Cricetulus griseus: one gene and its partner. The protein of the gene in region 1 interacts with the protein of each later gene in a biochemical or structural test. Links are inferred from orthologs where the notes say so. Each region holds a gene or a part of one and is shown on either strand. Other genes may lie near its edges.

Region 1 (10,206 bases):
TAGGGATGGGTCAAGGGCAGAGGTCCTAGTGCAGAAGGGCTTGTGTCAGCTTACAGGACATCAAGGGACAAGCTCTGTCCTCTAATGTCCCTAGGATGACCTCCCAGAACCACCCCTCTGCCTTATACCCTTCCTTCTCCTTACCCTGCCCCTCAGACACCATCTAGATCCCAGCACTGCATAGTCTGGGCACAAAGTAAAATCACATGGGAAGAGTTTAGGACTGTCTTGATCAGGTTGGCCCATGGGCATATCTGTGAGGAACTATGTCAGACTACCTTCATTGGTGTAAGAAGACCCAGTATGAGAGTGGGTGCAAAATTCCCCGATTTGGGGCCCTGGTCTGGTTAAAAGTAGAGGAAGTAAGTCAAACACTAAGCATGCAGTCATTTCTCTTTGCTTTTGACTGGGGATGGGATGTGAGCGGTTGCTTCAAGTTCCTGCTGCCTGGACTTCCCTGAAATAATAAACTGTAACCTGAAATTGTGAGCTAAAAACAACCCTTTTTCCCACTAAGCTGCTTTTAATCAGGGTATTTCACCACAGCAACAGAAATGAAACCAGGATGATCGTCCTGAGTCTCCTCTCCCCACTCAGGGGCTTTGTAGGGTTATCTGCTGGTCCCCCTTGGAACTGTGGCTACAGCTACATCGAGTCTGCCCACAGCACGTCTGCTGTCCCAGCTATGCTCACTTCACTGTGTCCGACCCAATCGAGCACGCCTGTGGCAAGCCTGGTTTGAAAAGTTATGCATCCCTGGCTACAGGACTTGTCAGGGCTCTCACTCTGCCAAGGGTAGCTAAGCCTTCTGAGAGTGGAAATGAATGGTGATTTCTAAATGGTTTGCTTCCCCATTTCAACAAGGCACAGACCAACTGCTAAGAGAGGATCCATCCAGGCGTTGGTGGCACATGCCTTTAATCCCAGCACTCCGGAGGCAGAGGCAGGCGGATCTCTGTGAGTTCAAGGCTAGCCTGGTCTACAGAGCGAGTGCCAGGATAGGCTCCAAAAGCTACACAGAGAAACCCTGTCTTGAAAAACAAAAGAGAGAGAGAGAGAGAGAGAGAGAGAGAGAGAGAGAGAGAGAGAGAGAGTCCAGACACCTAGTGCAGACAGTGGGGTTGAGGGAATCCACCCAGGGCGGAGTTCAGACTTTGAAGTAACTGTTTTAAAAATTACAGTTATTTGTAACTGTAGGATTGGCTTGCACACACCATGTGCATAAGGAGATCAGATAACTGCTTGGAGCTTTTGGTTTTCTCTTTTCACCCTTTGGGCCCTAGGGTATTGAACTCAGGTAACCAGGTTTGGTGGCAAAGCACTTTCACCCATGGAACACTTTCACTGGTCCTGGAGCTCAGACTTCTGTGAGTCAAGTTCACTGTCCAACCCAGAGACTGCCCCATCTGTCTGCCCTGACAGGACACACAGGCTGAGCTCCTAGATGCCCTGGACAGCCAACTCTAAGCCTACCTGGTCGCAAGTAAAGAGTCACTTTTTGTGGAGATAACTGCTTCCGTTCCCCCGGTTGGTCAAACTGAGGTTCAGCAAGGCTCCTGGGTTCCATTATGTCATCGGCTGGACAACCCTTCTGCAGCAGCTGAGCCCGTGTGTCACAGCGGAGGGAGTCAGGCTCTCCTGGTCCAGTGAAGTTCTAGGAGGAGGGGTCGGGCAGAAGGCACAGTGCTGAGACAGTGGGGTCCAGCCCCATTTCCTTCTTACCTGCCCTTGAAACTTCAGTTAGCTGTCCCAGTGGGATGGGGTCATCCTCTAGGGAAAACCAGACTCCTAGACAGCCTAGGTCACCCAGACAGCTCCAAGTTTCCCTGAGAGCTCCAGGTCACCAGAAGCATAGACTATAGACTTTTCTCTATCTTTCGGGCACTGACTCCATCAGCAAAGACTTGAGGTTCTCTATCTCTAGCTTGATCAGCAGCCTCAAGCTCAAGTGCTGGCCAGAACCCTCTGGTCCTTCCTCAGCAGGACCTTTGCTGGGAGCTTCTGTCTCCCAAGGGAATGCAGGTGCTCTCTTTGAACCAATGTGACAACCCTTGCTGAGACTCATGGCAGAGCTTGGGGTCAAGTTTGATGGGGGATGTTCTTTTGTATATATGTTTCTCTTATTGGTTGATGAATAAAACACTGGTTGGCCAGTAAAGGCAAGAAGATAAGAGGGCTAGGAGACAAGGAGATTGCTGGAGAGAGAGGCGCCACAAAGGGATGCCATGTAGAGATCAGAAAGATAGGATGTTCCAGGTGTTCTCTGGTAAGATAAAGCCATGTAGAAATATATAGATTAGTAGTTATGGGTTAATAATTAAGAGAGAGCTAGCCAGTAAGAAGCCCTAGCCATCAGCTTACAGTTTTATAATTAATATTGCGTCCATGTGCTTATTTGGGGCAAAGCAGCTGTGGGCCAGGTTAGAAAGAAACTCCATCTTCACAAGTTTCTCCCAGTTCATAGGGAAACCAGTTGGTGAGGGGAGTGGAGAGCCTGGGGGACCTTCATCTTGACTACCACGTCTCTTCAAAAAACCCCTGGATTTGACATGGAAGTCATTCTTGGTCCTGAACTGGAACCTGTTGCATCCAAAGGAGGACTGGTTCACCTGCAAAGTACCAAAAAGCACCGGGCTGCCTGTTTTCCCACAGACAGTAAAGCCAGACGAACAACTCAGAAGTGCAGTAGACACCGCCTGCCGAGTGTCTCTGCTCTGTGTTTGCTTTCAGAGCCACATCTTAAGTCCTCAAGAAACAGACGATCAGCCGGAATAGAGATAAGAGAAGCAAGCGTGTAATCCATGTAGAACAAGCGGCCTGACTGTTCATTTCAGGTGAGTAAAATGGCTCAAGAGGAAGAGAGAAAAGCTAGTCCATCTAAGAATGGCTTGTCCATGCTTGCACCACAGCTCTCAGTCACAGGATAGAAGTTACAACACCAGGCCTCTGCTCTGGAGCTTTGCCTGTAGCGGACATGATCGATGGCAATAGAAGTCAAAAACCTTGTGGGATGGAGAAGATGGGGAAAGTCGCAGAGAATGCTGGGAGCCCACTTGTCATGAAAGCATAGGAGCCTTCTCTAACTCTAACTCTTGGCCAGGGGAAGGCCAGAGCACAGTTAGCACAGCTGGTCATCCCAGAGTATGAAAGTTCTCAGAACAAGACAAAATGACAACAAAAAATGTCATATGAATGATACCCAGAGCATCTTAGAGGGGCCCAATGGCCTGACATGGACCAGTTGAACATCAAATTGGAAAAATAATAGTCATAAACTATGAAGAGAATAAAGATCTGCAGATCCATCAATGGGGTGGGGGCTGAGAGAGAGAGAGAGAGAGAGAGAGAGAGAGAGAGAGAGAGAGAACCATTTTACAGTCACTACAGTGGTAATGGAAATTTGCCTGAGTTGCCAGTAGTCAAATTGCAAGGTCACAGACTTAGTTTAGTGGGGACAGAATGCTAGCAACCTGACAGCACCTCACAGACGAGCCTGTCACTCACTGTGGGGGACACAGGATGTGAGGAGAAACCTGGCAGGTGTCACCTTAGCAAACATCATTAGTGCAGGGACATAGGGCACACCAGTGAGGGCACCATGTGTGCCTCATGTAGGGCACCAAGAATAACTCACTGTCTGGTGACCCTAGTGTACATCAGAGGACATGCTGGGTTGGAGGCGCCAAGGGACATTCTACACTGATGGCTCTACTCATCCTAAAACGACAAAGCTGGGAATGTTCTGGATATAAGGGTAGTAAAATGGCACACCGTGTGTCCTCAGATTATGACAGTATGGAAAAATGTGAAAATTTGGCAAGATGCAAATACGGTCTGCCCATTGGGCCAATATTACATTTGCTGAGTTTGATAACAGGATCAAATATGAACATACACATATGGCATGGTTCGTGTTGACTATCAGCTTGACAGGCTCTGGACTCTCCCAACAGGCAAGGCTCCAGGCACACTGGGAGGGACTGTGTTGACTAGGTTCTTTGACATGGGAAGACCTGCCCAGTGCAGGTGGCACGGTCCCATGGGTTTGGGTCCCGGACTGAAGAGAAATGAGGAAGGGAGTCGAACATGGACATTCATCACCCTGCATCCTGTCTGTGGATGTGATGTGACTAGCTGCCCCACACCCACACCCCCGCTGCTGTGACTTCCCCACCATGACAGACTGTCATCTCTAACCGTGAGCCAAAATAACCCTTCCTTCCTTAAGTTGCTCTTATCAGGGTGTTTTTATGACAGTAACAGAAAAGTAACTACGACAGTACATTTTATAAAAAACACACTCAGTGTGTTTTTGTTTTGTTTTGTTTTTTATAAGCGAATACCTTATTCTCAAAGACCTATGAAGATAGAAGGGACAGAGGCTGTTGGTGTAGTTTCCACCAGAAAGGATCAGGCGACTGAGAAGAAAGAGTAATGTGGGTGTTTCCCTGTGGGGTCAGCAGCTTGGGGACCCCAGGAGGAGCATACGATAAAGGCTTAGACCCACAGGAGGAGCCCTCTATAAGAGGTGGCCAGCTGTACTGAGGGACTGGGGTACAGGATGAGAAGTCCCCTCCATGCCTGCCTGTGGGCCTTTACCTCCTCCTGTTCTTGATTCACACTGCAAAGCTGGACTGTCCCTCCCTACATACCTGGAGTCAGCCTGGGTTACCATGGTACATCCATCTCCCTCCTCGAAACTTCTCTACTGAGTCATTCCTGCTATGTCCTAAGGAGATTGTCCTGGTGTCCCTGGCTTCAGAGAAGTAGAGGTCCCTACCCAGGAAGAGGGGAAGGGGGCTTAAAAACTGTCAGGCGACCCACGCAGCTCTTACCAGCTTCTGGCACCATGCGCATCCAGGCCCCGACTGGACACAGTCCTGACAGTTGCTGACTTTGTACTTGGTGCACTCCTGGGACATGACTGAGGAGACAGACAGGCTGGATGAGGACCCTGCACCCACTCTGGCTGCTCTCAAGAGTGAGTGGGGAGGGGGGGTAGACGAGGCTCTGGGGAGGGTGTAGGCTAGTGTCTACAGCCTTATGTGATCTGGGAAGGGCTCTGAGTCGTCCCAGTGGGATTCAGAGCAGCACCCCTGAGGAAGTCAGACTCCGCCTCCTGTTATATGGGGATCAAAGACATCCATGCCTGAGACTGACTCCCAGAGGATGGTCCTTCCTCAGCCATCTGGGAACTTATGCCCAAGAGGACATGAGGTGGGCCTGCTGGGTGGGAATGTCATGTGTAGGGACAACATCATAGAACTCACCTGATCCCAGGTAGAGCAGTCCAGCTAGAGCGAGCAGCAGTGAGTGCCAGCCCAGCATGTCCTGTGGAGAGAAGGGCTGGGTGACTTCTGGCTGATCACCTGAAGACTTCCTTCTTGCTGGCCTCCTGTCCTGCTGCCACAGGGCATGAAAACCAGGCAGGGCCAGCACAGGTATCACTCAAAGTCCACAGGGTAACTGGCTCAGGTGGCCAGGTCCCTAGAAGAGCAGGCAGCCAGCCTCTGTGGGACTACCATAGGCATGCATGCATTCATGCATGCATGTGCACGCGCACACACACACACACACACACACACACACACGGGTGGGGGGAGGGAGGGAGGAGATGAAAAGAGAGCGAGACAGAGATAGAGACAGAGAGACGGAGAGAGATGCATGCCATACAGGCAGCCCCACTCCCCACCCCACAAGTGCAGTGGCTCACACTGTCGGGGCACAGCTGTAACACCTGTGTACTCCAAGTCCTTAACGAGCTTGGACCCCAGATCTGGTTGACCCAGATAGCAGAATTGGGCCCAGGTAGAGCCATGAACTTGGAGCACTTGTGGAACAGGGCTGAGCTGGCTCACAGAGACTCTCTCTGTCTCAAATACTCCTTGGAGCCTTGATTCTATTCTTGCCCAGGAGGAGATAGAGCTGGGGACCTTGTTGGAATCCCTGTCCCGGGCAGGGGAGAATCGGCTTCACAGAGCTCATCCATGGCTTTGACTACCCTACTGCTGGCTGCCTGTTGCCATGTTTCCAGAACCACAGCATCCTGTCCTGCTTATAATCCATGGCACTGAGGGCCTTGAACTAATAAGGGGCCCAGCTGGGGACTAGGCATGCTGAGAGGCCTGGGGTGTGACTTCCTTCCTCATGGCTGGGCACCGGCAGGACTGCCATTCTCCTAGATCTTTACTGGTATCCTCCTTCCCCTGCAAGGACCCAGAGAGGTCAGGACTCAGCCCCTGGGACCTATGATGTTCTGAGTGGTGTGGCCCCTGGGTCTGAGTTCCTAAGACATGAGGATCTGTGGCAGGCAGGCAGGAAGAGATACATGACCAGGGCCTGGGTTGTCAGAAACAAAAATCAGCATGCCTCCCCAAGCCATGACCAGCTCCTCTACAGGGCAAGGCTGAAGCCACTGAGGAAACCGAGTGAGGGTGGGGACAGGGTTGCCAGATCAGTGCTCTGAAGGTGGCTCTTAGTGCCTTGTATGGCCTCAGAGTACTGGGTATACCAACCAGCCTGTGGTCCTTGACATCACCATTGCTCCCTGAAGCCCAGAATCCAGGCTGAGGTCTATGATAGTCATGACACCCTGTAGAGTCACCCAGTTGGGGACCCTGTGGATACAGCCCTCATGTAGCCCCATTTCTGACCCTTTTAAAAGTGGCCTATGACCTCAGAAAGACTATCCTCAGGGCCCAGAATTGTTAAATGAAGCCCCACTTAAGGAAAAGCAAGACTTCCTCCCTCGCTTTCTGAGTTTAGCACACTGTAGCAAGGCAGAGAGGGGACTTGAAGCTACATGGGAGCCATCCCAGCTCTGAATATCTCTGTCTCCCGGTCCCAGGGCACCTAGCCCAAGCTGAGGCAGCTGCATTTGGTCCTGCTTCTGCATCTCATCCTAGAGTTCCTTGAACACTGCTAGGGGTGGCACACGTGTGTCCACCAACTCCCTTAACTAACCTGGGGCCTGGCACGTGTGACTGAGATCTGCATGCTGACACTGCAATCCAGTCAGCCTCAGGAAAGCCCCCTTTCTGAGGCCATGGCTGTTGTGGGTAGAGAGTGGGGAGAGTCCTTCCAGGGCACAGGTATGGTACTTCAGAGAGAGGCCATCACAGATGTCGCCCCCAAACAGCCACTATAGTCAGTATTCAAACTTGCTGGGGAAACTGGAGCTCCAAGCAGGAGCAGGATACAGGGTTGTGTCTCATACCTATGAGTGTGTTGACGGGCATGCACACAGAGATAGAGAGAGATAGAGATAGAGAGATAGAGAGAGAGAGAGAGAGAGAGAGAGAGAGAGAGAGTGTGTGTTCAACTTGGTTATAAGACCAACCCACAGACCACACTGCCCTGCCCTGACCTTGACCACAGGAAGTGGGTGGTGGCCAGTGTAGCCACCGCCTGTTCTTTGTTCCAGGTGCAAAGCTCTCAGGACAGAGAGCACTTGAGAGGAGCCATCTCCACCTGGGCCCCCTATGCCCCACAGAAGACACCAAACAATGACAATGGTGTGAGCCTAAGTCATCAGCTTGTGCAAGACCTCCTGACCCTGTCTTTATCTTCTCATCTCCTAGCCCTCCTTCTGAGGACCTTGCCACTGAAGAGCCATCAGTTGGCCCAGGTCAGGTGGCGCTTGCCCTTGGAAAGACAGGTTTGAGCGTTTGCATCTCAGTATGATCTCTTAGTGCCTAGCACAGCTGGTCCCTCTTCTCAGTCTGTGGGGAGGCCCCTAGTCACTGCAGCTGCCAGCCAGAACAAGAGTGAATAAGAGGGCCTGAGGTAGAAGCCCCACACTCCCACCCCATGGTTACTGAACAGCCCTGAGAAGGTCTCCTCTAGCTCCTGGCTTCACTGGAGCTCCTTAGGTCTTCCAGGTACCTTCACCAAGTCATGAGGTGAGACCTTACGCAGAGGCCTCCTGAGAAAGCCCTGCCCCAGTAGCTATTAGAACTCTTCATCACAGCCACCCTCTATCTCCACCCTCTGCTCAGCAAGTGCTAGCCCAACCCAGGAAGTGGTGGCTATCCGCAGGCCTTCACATTGTGAGGCCTGAGTTGTTGGCCTTCCCTGAAGATTCCCTTGGGGACTATGGCTTCACACGAAGGGGTAGATGAGGCCATGGTGTTTGCACCTGGGTTCTGTGACAGGAAAGTATCTACCTCATACATGTCCCCATGAGAAATGAAATGCCCATGGCAAAGGAGGAAACAAGAAACAAAAGGCAATTTGGGCAGGGTGTGGTGACCTATAACTGTAATCCCAGCGCTTGAGAGGTGAAGGGGAGACGACCAGGAGTTCAAAGTCATCCTCAGCTACATAGTGAGTTCAAGGACAACTGGAGGTGAATGAAACCCTGACCGCCTCCCGCCCCCCCCCCCAAAGAGTGGGTGGTGATGTAAAAAAAAAGCCAGCTGAGGGGGCAAGTCTTATAAGAGGCTGGTGGTGGGTGGCTTCCTGTCCCTAGTCAGAGCACATGAGGTACCTGACTGACTGAGAGCAACACTGGGAATCAAGCAGTTGAACACTGACAGAGCCCCAGGGTAGTTTGCAGGGAGAATAGATGGAGTCCTAGGACTGCCCTTTTCTGAGGAAAACAAAAATAAAGGCACGTGACCATCAGAGATGATCATAGCCCAGCCTTGAACTTTTTCACTGAAGTCCAGTGTCAAGATGGAGTCACTTCTGCCCTTACACACTCACAAAAGAACTGGGGGCAGATGGGCTCAGGGTGCGGGAACAGGGTTCTGGGATCCAGGAGCTCCGGGCAGAGGACAAGGGGCTTGTAGAAACAGAGGGAACAGCTGATTTGAGGACACAGAGCTCCGGGCAAACACAGGGAACAAGGGATGTTCTAGTTCCCTTTTTGTTGCTGTGATAAAACACTGACCACAGGCAAGTTAGGGGAGGAAAGAGTTTCTTTCAGCTTATAGGTTACAGTCATCACTGAGGGAAGTTAGGGCAGGAACTCAAGCAGAAACTTGAAGTAGAAACGATGGAGGAACCCTGGTTAGAGGCTCCCACTCCTACAGGCTTATGCTTAGCTGGCTTTCTCTGTAGCCCAGGACCACGTGCACTGAGAATGGTGCTGTCCCACGGTGGTGTGGGCTCTCCTACATAGATTAATCATCCAGACATCTCCCCGCAAACATACCCACAGGAGAATCTGATCCAGGAAGTTCCTCAATCGACTTAATGCTTTGTAAAAGTGACAAAGCTAATTAGGACAAGGGGCACACAGGAACAGATGGAGTAGCTGGGTTCTGGAATACTGCATCTGGAGTCCTAGAGCTCCAGGCAGACTTGGAACAAGAGGCCAGAAGGTCGGAGGGAGGGGTGAGTATGGAGGATACTGGTCCTATAGACTCTCAGAAACCCTCCTAGAACCTGCAAAGGAAATTTCATAAGTGACTGAGAAACATGGTTGCATGGTGCTTATTAATGATGGAGTCCACAGATACCAAAAGCTGCAGCGACTGACCAACTAGGATTAAGTGGGACTCACTTCTAAAGCTGTTTAAGAACACAACAATAGCTGGGCATTGGTGGCACATGCCTTAAATCCCAGCACCTGGGAGGCAGAGGCAGGCGGATCTCTGTGAGTTCGAGACCAGCCTGGTCTACAAGAGCTAGTTCCAGGATAGGCTCCAAAGCCACAGAGAAACCCTGTCTCAAAAAACAAAAACAAAACAAAACAAAGAACACAACAATAAGCTAGGCATAGTGGAACAAACATTTAATTCCAGCATTGAGGAGGCAGAATAGGTGGATCTCTGCAAGTTTGAGACCACCCTGATCTACACAGTGAATTCCAGGACAGCCAGAGCTACATAGTGAGACCCTATCTCAAAAGATAGATAGATAGATAGATAGATAGATAGATAGATAGATAGATAGATTGATAGAGCAATAAAAAGTCCCAAGTCAGAGGGAGACTACAAACATCCTTGCAGGCATGTTAGAACAGGAGAGGCCTCCTGCTGTGAGGTTTCCCCTCTAACAGAACCTGAGAAATTAAGGGTAGGTGAGCATCTCCGAGGAGCATGGACCACAAATAGGCCATTCAACAGGCAGAACACAGATGCAGAGGGGCATGGGATACCCATCAAAACACGGGCATTTCTGGAGTAGATTTCCAACAGAAGATGGCTTTACCATTTTAATACACACAGCTCCCGCCCTGTGGAATCTGCCTGCAGCAGC
Region 2 (9,972 bases), on another chromosome or scaffold:
CACAGCCATCTCTAAGGAGATCTGGTGTCTCTTCTGGTGTGCAGAGCATACATGCAGGCAGAACACTATATACATAATAAATAAATCTTTAAAAAAGCCAGAACCTGTCCCTCCACACTGATCCTCCGACAGCTCCAAGGGCAAAAGGCATCCTAAGAAAGTGATAGTGTATCTGGAATGTACTTTCAAGTCATTAGGACATAGCCAGGCAAGGTGAATGCACTTGGGAAGTTGAGGCAGGAGGACCAGGAGTTTAAGGTCACCCTGGGCTACATAGTAAGACTGAGTCTAGTCTGAGCTACATGAGACTTTGTCTCAAAAACCAAAACACCAGGGCTGGGCATGTGGCTCAGCTGGTAGAGTGCTCATCTACAACCTACAGCTAAGGGAAATGTTAGTAGGGTGTGGTGGCACATGCCTGCAATCCCAGCTTGTGTGTACTGGAGCAGAAGCTAGGGAGTTCCAGGCCAGCCTGGATACAGAGACCAAGAGCATATCTCAAAGTAAAGAAATAAAAACAGAGGCTGTTCGGGCTCCTGAAAGGAGGACAAGCCCATGTTGGGACGAGAGGGAAAGCAGGGCAGGCTGAGGGAGCTGCAAGTTGTCCCCACCAGAACTCACAGCAAATGAGGCTGGAAGCTTCAGAACATTCTTTAGTTTGTGTAAGACCATTTGGTACCAGGGAGGAAGCCATGCCCTTCCTGCAGACTGAGCACAGGCAGGGGAGGAGAACTGCAAAGGAATGTAATTCTGGAACATGCTGCACTGAGTGCCTGTTGCCTACCTCTCACTTTCCCATTCCCACCTCAGCAAATGGCCCGCCCAGGATCTCAGACCTGAACGCAAGCCTTAACAAGTCCGGTGGGTCTAGCCTGGGAATGGATCCAAGTCTAAGAGATGTCCAGTGGACTACCCAAGCAGGGTCTCATATATACCAGGTTAGCCTTTTTTTTTTTTTTTTTTTTTTCTTTTTTGAGACAGGTTTTCTCTGTGTAGCCTTGGCTGTCCTGGAACTCACTTGGTAGATCAGGCTGGCCTTGAAGTCATAGAAATCTGCCTGCCTCTGCCTCCTGAGTGCTGGGAGTAAAAGCATGCACCACCAACCCCCAGCTTTCTTTTTCTTTGTTTTTTTTTTCAAAATGAGTGCTCTGTATGCATTGCATCTGCTTGCCAGAAGAGGGCATCAGACCACACTGTAAATAGTTGTGAACCACCATGTTCACCATGCAGGGAATTGAACTCAAGAACTCTGGAAGAGCAGTCAGTGCTCTTAACCACCGAGTCTTCTCTCTCCATCTTTCCAGGCCCTCTTTTAATTAAAAAACAAAAACAAAAACAAAACAACTTTGTGTGGGACTGGAGAGATGGCTCAGGAGTTAAGAGCACTGACTGTTCTTCCAGAGATTCTGAGTTCAATTCCCAGCACCCACATGGTGGCTCACAACCATCTGTATGTAATGTGATCTGGTGCCCTCTTCTGGCATGCACTGTATACATGATAAATAAATTTTTAAAAAAATAAAATAAAAAAACTTTGTGTGTGTGCCACATGCATGTAGGTGTCTGTGGAAGCCAGAAGACAGCATGGGATCTGCTGGAGCTTGGATTACAAGCAATTGTGAGCCTCCAAAAGTACTGGGAGCCAAACCTAGTTCCTCTGGAAGAGAAGCAAGTGCTCCTGACCACTGGGTGGTCTCTCCACCCTGCTAATGTTTGGTCACCACACCAATTCTTTTTAACCATCAAAAACTATCCCTGGCTTTAGCTTTCCACTTTACCACTCGTCACAAAATAATACTCCACTTTTCTTTTTCTTTTTTAAATCTGGGCGGCTCCTACGTGTAGCCCAGGCTGGCCTTCAACATGTAGCAGAGGATAACCCTGAATTCCTGATCCTCCGTCCTCCATGTGGGCTTTGTGCTTGTTTATTTATTTTTGTTTTTCTTTTTCTTTCTTTCTGTTTTTTTTTTTTTTTTTTTTTTTTTTTTGTGTGTGTGTGTGTGTGTGTGTGTGTTTTGAAACATGGTTTCTTTGTGTAGCCCTGGCTGTCCTGGAACTAGCTCCATAGACCAGACTGGCCTCCCTGCCTCTGGGACTAAAGGTCTGTGCCTCCACACTTGGCCAGGGCTTTGTGCTTGTTAAACAGGCACTCTATGCTGTTGAGAAACCCTGTCTCAAAAAACCAACCCTCCCCCCCCAAAAAAAAAACCAGGTACCCTACTAACTAGCTACAGCCTCAGAAAGATTATTTTTAAATTATTTTGTTAAATTTATTTTATATGTGATTGCTTTGCCTGCATGTGTACCACATGTATGCTTGCTGCTTGACATGGTGCTGGTAACTGAACTTGGATCATCAACTGCTAAGGTATCTCGAGTGTGTGTGTGTGTGTGTGTGTGTGTGTGTGTGTGTGTGTGTGTGTCTGTGGTGCCCAGGGAGGCCAAAAGATAAAGAACTTCAGGTGGATCCCTAGTACTTGAGTTACAGATTGCTGTGAGCTGCCATATGGGTGATGGGAATTGAACCAGAGCACTTGCTTTTAACTGATAAACCATCTCTCAGCCTCCTTGATGGTTTTTGAAGACATCTGGTGTGGGGCTGGCGTGCACTCGCTGTGTAGCCCAGGCTGACCCCCACTTCCTGAGTACCGCTCTCACAGGCTGCCGAGCTTTTCTGTGGCAGTAGAGTTGTGTTTTGCGTGTCACTGCTCAGCTGAGCATCCCAGCAGGATTTTCCAATATTCAGCTCTGGGAACGATGGTGCCCTGCACAAAGTAGGCACCCACTTAAACAACTTTGCTCTTAGGGCTGCAAATGGGAACTTAGGGCGCTGGAGGCTCCCCACACATGAAGTAGGGACCAAAAGACTCAGTGACACCCTAAAAAGATCCACTCCGAGGGTTTTCCCAGACCCTCCTGTGGTCACCCTGCAACTCTGCCAAAGTCGTCCCGGGGCAGGGACTGATTGTCTCCTCCCCGACCCCCCAAGATCAAAAGATCCCCGTGGAAATTCCTTAGGAATGTCCAGGCTGGGGGCGTGGGTTGTGGAGTGTCCCAGGAGCTGCTGCTACCGGAGGAAGAGAGAAGGCTTCTCAACCTCTCCCTTCCGCATCTGCAGCACGACCTCCTGGCCCAGCACCGGTCTCCACGGCAACAGTGCGGGCGTCCCACAACAGGAAGCCTCGGGTGCCAAACCCCCTGGGTCAGAAGATCGGTGTTCGAGATCTCTCTCCGCCCGACCTTGGAGTTCAGGGTCTGCCTCAGTTTCCCTGAAGAAAGCAAAGGTTAAAATAACCAAGCCTGGTGAAGCACGAGGCAGGATCTGGAGTTCAAGGTCATCCCTAGCTACACAATGTTTGAGGCCAGCCTGGGCTACTTGATACCCAGTCTCCAGAAAAGAGAAGGAGTGGGGGTGAGATGGGAGGGGAAGAGGGAGAGACAGAAAGGAGGGGGTATGGGGGTGGGAGGGAGAGAGCGGGGGAGGAAGGAGGGGGACTCAAGGCGGGGGAGGGGCGGGGCGGGGGGGGGTGGGGGTGGGGGGCTAGGCCCCTCTCTGAGAGGTGCCTCTCTTGAGTTGCCCTCAGTTTCTTATCCAGCCTGAGAAAGGGTGGCGCAGGGCTCCACAGGGCCAGACAGACCTCTTCCTTCCTTCTTGGGGAGCTGTCAAGACGCCCCAGGGGTCAGAGTAGAAAGGGGAAGCGAGGCCGCGGGGGCGGGAGCACTCGTGGGTGGGAGGAGGGACGAAGGGACTGCATGACGCCTCTCTGGCAGGGCTCGCCCACGCCGGATCTGTCCGGGCCTGCTTGGACCGCTGCTCCAAAAATCTCTGGTGTCAACTGGGTGGGGTGCGAGCCTTGGGAGAGGGGCCCCTCTGAGCGGATGGCGCCCCGAATGATTCCAGGGAATTGTTGTGCTTGGCTAAGGCGTGTCGTGGGGGGCAAAGAGGCTTGTGGGAGCTGGGGTTCGAGGCTACCCCGCGAGGCGACGGCAGTCCCGAGGGCACAGGGCACCAGGCACCGGTTAACCAATTACCCTGCAGGCGTGACGTGACTCCAGAGGTCCTGAGCCCTCTGCTGAACTCACCCACCCTCTCCCGCACGCAGCCCGCCCCCATTGGCCATTGCTTCAGTCTGGAAATTCCTGGGCCACGGTGCCCAGCGAGGCAGGCCACCCCTCTAGGCCAGGGCACGATCTCCTTGCGGAAATACCGAAGTCCGCGTTCCGGAGGGGAAGGCGCTAGGTTTCCGGGAAAGCGGCCCCGCCAGCACCGCCCCTCGGCCCCCCGCGGCCGGCCGGCAACTATAAAGTCAGACGCGCTGCGCGCCGCCCGCGTCCCGTCCCGTCCGCGCCCGGTGCTCCGTGCCCCTTGCCCCGTGGGTGCTCGTGCTCCCTGCGCTCTGCTGGCCTTGCTATGGCTCCCACCCGCGCCAGGCCCACGCCACCCCTGCTCCTCGCCCTGGTGGCCGTTGTGATTCCAGGTGAGTCCGAGGTGGGGTCGCTTTTAGGGACAAGTTTCCGGACCCCAGGTGGACCCAGGCACGGGCCAGAGGAGCAGAGGATAGTTCTTAGGGGTCTGTTAACGGGAAGTGGGAGTGGAAACGAAGGGTTGAAAACCATCAGCCCCGAGTAGTTCAAATCCCGCGGATGGGCTGCAGAACACTGTCTGCCTGTCTGCCTGCCTGCCGCTCCCTCTCCCTCCCTTTCCCTCCCTCCCTCTCCCCTTCTCCCTCTCTCCCTTTCTCCCCCTCTCTTCCTCCCTCCCTCTCCATCTCTCTCTCCCTTCCTCCCTCTCTCTCCCCCCTCTCCTTCTCTCCCTCTCTCTCTCCCCCTTTCTCCCTCTCTTCCCTTCCCTTTTTGCCTGTTTTGAGGCACTTAGCCTAGACTGGACTTGAACTCTCATCCTCATGGTCCCCGCCCTTCTCCCTTCAGCCTGGGATCACCCGCTTGAGACACACTACTCCTCTATAAACGTATTCGTTTAGAACCTGGGACCCTGGCCTGTTCAATGGGAACAGTGGTCACAGCCATTGTCATGGGGCAGTCAGAATGTGCGGGGGGGGGGGGCGCAGATAGTAGGGGGACCAGCCCCTACCAAGCTGAGTCTTGAGGTCCGATTCCCTCCCCACAGATAGCCTGTTCCTCATCCTCACCCCTGGGGGAAGTCCAGGCTGCTCTGCACTGGGGAATTCCAGGGCTGGTGTGCTCAGGAGTCAGAGGCTGAGAAGTGAAGTGAGGTGGCTGAGGACTCCCCACAGGAGCCCTCCCTTGCTTGCGGGCAGCACCTGCTGTCCTCCAATGAGAGGAAGATTCCGAACTTGCTCAGCTGCTCATAGGAGGCTTCTGACCTCCTAGCTAGATCATGGGCCAGAGGAGCAGAGGAGTGCTGAGATTAAAAGTGTGCACCACCACACCTGGCATTAGGGACACATTTAAAAAAATAATTTATTCTTATTTTGAGTGCCTTGATGTTGTGCCTGCATGTATGTCTGTGTGAGGGTGTCAGATCTTGGAGTTACAGACAGTTGTTAGCTGCCATGTGGGTGCTGGGAATTGAACCCAGGTGCTCCTAGCCATTGAGCCATCTCTCCAGCCCTAGGGACACATTTGGGATGTGACCCACCCCTACCCACAGGATACTCTCATTTCCTTTCTTTCCTCTCTCCCACCGTCCACTCTGCCACCCTGCCTCAGGGCCTTTGCACTCTCTGTTCTTTCTGTCCGTCATTGGCTTCTTTTTTCCCTGTTCAGGCAATGTCTTCTTATCCTTCAGATCTCTGCTCAAATCTGTCTGTCACCAAAAAACTATATGCTATACCCTACTCTGTTTTGGTTTTACCAAAACTCTTATTACCAAACCACTATTAAAGCTGGGCAGTGGCACATGCCTTTGATTCCAGCACTCCAGAGGCAGAGGCAGAGGATCTCTGTGAGTGTGAGGTCAGCCTGGTCTACACAGGGAGTTCCAGGACAACCAGGGCTGCATAATGAGACCCTGTCAGAAAAAAAACAAACAGCTGGGCGTTGATGGTGCACACCTTAAATCCCAGCATTTGGGAGGCAGAGGCAGGTGGATCTCTGTGAGTTTGAGACCAGCCTGGTCTACAAGAGCAAGTTCCAGGACAGACTCCAAAGCCACAGAGAAACCCTGTCTGGAAAAACCAAAAAAGAAGAAAAACCAAAGCAAAAACAAAGTAACGACAAAAACCCAACAGCTAGTATCTGGGGCTGGCCTTAGTGGGCAGAGCCTTTGCTTAGCAGGTGTGGAACCCTGGGTCCCATCCCTAGCACTGTGTTAAAACTAAAACTGAGTGTGGTAGTGTGTCTGGCTGGAGAGTGGCTCAACAGTTAAGCAGTACCAGGGTTCTGATCCCAGGACCACATGGTAGCTCACAACGCCTATAACTCCAGTTCCCGAGGTTAAGATAGCCTTCTGATCTCTTCTGGCACCTGCATGCCTGCCTCTCTCTCTCTCTCTCTCTCTCTCTCTCTCTCTCTCTCTCTCTCTCTCTCTCTCTCTCTCTGCATGCATCATGCAATTCTCTCTGGCACCTGCATGCATGTCTCTCTCTCACACACACATACACACACACCCCACACACTCACACACACACTAAAATATGTGTTTATTTATTGGTTTTTCAAGACAGGGTTTCTCAGTGTAACAGTTCTGGCTGTCCTGGAACTCCATTTGTAGACCAGGATGGCCTTGAACTCACAGAGATCTGCCTGCCTCTGCCTTTCAAGTCCTGGGATTAAAGGCATACACCACCACCTTCCAGCAATAATATTTTTGTCTTGTTTTGTTTTTCCAGACAGGGTTTCTCTGTGGCTTTAGAGGCTGTCCTGGAACTTGCTGTGTAGACCAGGCTGGCCTCGAACTCAAAGAGATCCACCTGCCTCTGCCTCCCGAGTGCTGGGATTAAAGGCGTGCACCACCAACACTGGGCAATACATATTTTTTTAAAAGAAAGAAAAACACAGTACTTGGTGTTTGGGGAGGGCAATACTCTCAAACTCTATATCTAGTCCAGGATAATGTTCAACTCCTGATCCTCCTGCCTCTACCTCCTGAGTGTTGGAATGATAGATGTATGCCGCTATACTCATTTTATGGGGTGCTGAGGATGAAACTTGGGCTTCAGGCATGCTAGGCAGGTGCTCTGTCCACTATGCCCAGCACCCCCTCAACCCCTCTTGTGTACTCAAGCATGGCTGCCTCCTGCATCGAGAGCAACATCCTGCCTAGCTCAAGGCTGCGTGCCCAGCACCTAGCTCTGAAGTCACATGGCTGAACCGGCCTCTTATCTCTCCTTTCTGTTCCAGGGCCTGGTAGTGCTCAAGTATCCATCCACCCCAAAGAAGCCTTCCTGCCTCGGGGTGCATCCATGCAGGTGAACTGCTCTTCCTCCTGCAGCGAGAACCTCAGCCTGGGCTTGGAGACTCAGTGGCCCAAAGTAGAGCTGGATCATGGACACAATTGGAAGCTGTTTGAACTGAGTGACATTGGAGACGACAGCAAGCCACTGTGCTTTGAGAACTGTGGCCCTATCCAGTCCTCAGCCTCTGCCACCATTGTCTTGTACTGTAAGTGACAGGGCCAAGGGTGGGGTATAGGGAGACCCAAGGGGATATGGCAGCTGGGACCAGGAGCCAGCCTTGGAAAGTCCCACTGTCACTTAGAGATCTCTTTAAACTTTTGTCAGGAGGATGTACCACAGGAATTTAGAACATTCCAGAATGCCACCATCTGATGCCTGGATTGTTCTGTTTTGTTTACCCTTTTAACTGTACTCTATTTATTATTGCTTATTTCTAATGTTTTGGGTTTAAAAATAATGTATTTAAGCCAGGCAGTGGTGGTTGGTATAAAGGCTTTTAATTCCAGCACCCAGGAGGCAGATGCAGGCAGATCTCTGTGAAATCAAGGCCAGCCCGGTCTACAACGTAAGTTCCAGAATAGCCAGGGCTACACAGAGAAACCCTGTCTCAAAAAACAAAAGAAATGTATTTGTTATTTTATACAAATTGGTGTTTTGCCTTTATGTATGTCTGTGTTAGGGTGTCAGTGCCCAGGAACTTGAGTTACAGACAGTTGTGAGCTACCATGTGGTGCTGGGAATAGGACAGGTCCTCTGGAAGAGCAGTCAGTGTTCTTAACTGCTGAGCCTTCTCTCCAGCCACAGTCTTTTGTTTTTGTTGTTGTTTGTTTGCTTATTTGTTTTAAGACAGGGTCACACATAACTGAGAATGGCTTTGAACTGATCCACTTGCTGGGGGCTGGGATTATAGGTTTATACCCCTAGCTATTTTGCACAGTGTTGGGGATTGAACACAGGACTTAGTAGATTCAAGGCAAGGACTCTGCCCCTGAATTGTAGCCCACCCTTTGCCACATTTTTAAACAAGAGGCCCTAGATCTGATCCTTTTATTTATTCATTTATTTATTTCCTAAGACAGGGTTTCTCTGTGTAGCTCTGGAGCCTGTCCTGGAACTCACTCTGTAGACCAGGCTGGCCTTGAACTCACAGAGATCAGCCTGCCTCTGCCTCCTGAATGCTGGGATTAAAGGCCTGTGCCACCACTGTCCAGTGCACTTTGTAAGTTTTAGTTTATTTTTTAAAATTCTGCTGGGCAAGGTGGCACATGCCTGTAATCCTAGCTCCTGAAAGGCAGAGGCAGGAGGATCTTTGTGAGTTGAAGTCCAGCCTAGTCTACATAGTGAGTTCCAGACCATCCAGGCTACACAGTGAGACTGTGTGTGTATGCACAGGTGCCAAGGTCAGAGGACAACTTGCAGGGATCGTTTCTCTCCTTACACCAGGTAGCTCCCAGAGAACTGGAACTCAGGTTATCACAGTTGGTGGCAGTGCCTTCATTCTCTGAACCCTCTTGCCTGCCCTGCTGTTAATTTATTTTTAGATTTTTTTTTAATTTGTGTGTATGAACATTTAGGGCTGCATGTATGAATGTACCGACATGTGGAGGACAGAAAAATGAATTAAAACCTCAGGAACTGGAGTTACAGGTGGTTGTGAGACATCTCGCAGGTGCTGGGAACCAAACCGCAGTCCTCTACAGTAAGCAGCTGTCTCTTCAACCCCCATATTTATTTATTTATTTTGCTTTTTGAGACAGTTTCTTTATGTTTATTTTATTTTTTTTAAGGTTAACTGGCTTTGACACCGAGCAGTGGTGGCACACATCTTTAATCCCAGCACTTGGGCGGTAGAGGCAGGTGGATCTTTCTGAGTTCAAGGCCAACCTGGTCTACAAGAGATAGTTCCAGGACAGGCTCCAAAGCTACACAGGGAAACCCTGTCTCGTAAAACAAAACAAAACAAAAAACTGGCTTTGACATCTTGTACTTATTTTTTTAGTCTTTTTAAAATTTATTTATTTATTTTTATCTTATGTGCATTGGTGTTTTATCTGCATGTGTGTGTGAGGATATTGGATCTCCTAGAACTGTTTTTTTGTTTGTTTGTTTGTTTTGTTGAGACAGGGTTTCTCTGTGTAGCTTTGGATGGAGTCTTTCCTGGAACTTGCTCTTGTAGACCAGGCTGGTCTCAAACTCACAGAGATCCATCTGCCACTGCCTCCCGAGTGCTGGGAAGAAAGGCATGCACCACCACCGCTCGGCTAGAACTGGGGTTACAGACAGTTGTGAGCTGCTATGTGGGTGCTGGGAATTGAACCTGGATCCTCTGGAAGAGCAGTCAGTGCTCTTAACCACTAAGCCCATTTCTGCAAGCATCCAGCATCTTGCTCTTCATGTATCTGCCTTCCAAGCACCAAGACCATAGGTGTGTGCTTCCAAGCCTGGGTTGAACATCAGTTCTTTTTTATTTTTCTTTCTTTTTATTTTATTTATTTATTTATTTATTTATTTATTTATTTATTTATTTGGTTTTTCGAGACAGGGTTTCTCTGTGGCTTTGGAAGCTCACTCTTGTAGACCAGGCTGTGTCTGC

What was found. The genes of interacting proteins can lie anywhere in the genome.
Region 2: the proteins of Itgb2 (region 1) and Icam1 form a complex in vitro, tested with the Homo sapiens proteins (4 studies listed by BioGRID). The link is inferred for Cricetulus griseus from reciprocal best matches to the Homo sapiens genes ITGB2 and ICAM1.

What each region holds. Positions count from the first base shown.
Region 1 is NW_023276806.1:261,264,587-261,274,792, forward strand, and holds the start of Itgb2 (integrin beta-2), read right to left. Parts: upstream 5,329-10,206; coding exon 5,271-5,328; intron 4,925-5,270; coding exon 4,836-4,924; intron 1,655-4,835; coding exon 1,474-1,654; intron 1-1,473.
Region 2 is NC_048597.1:133,880,704-133,890,675, forward strand, and holds the start of Icam1 (intercellular adhesion molecule 1 precursor), read left to right. Parts: upstream 1-4,252; 5' UTR 4,253-4,411; coding exon 4,412-4,478; intron 4,479-7,323; coding exon 7,324-7,584; intron 7,585-9,972. UniProt on the Homo sapiens protein: ICAM proteins are ligands for the leukocyte adhesion protein LFA-1 (integrin alpha-L/beta-2).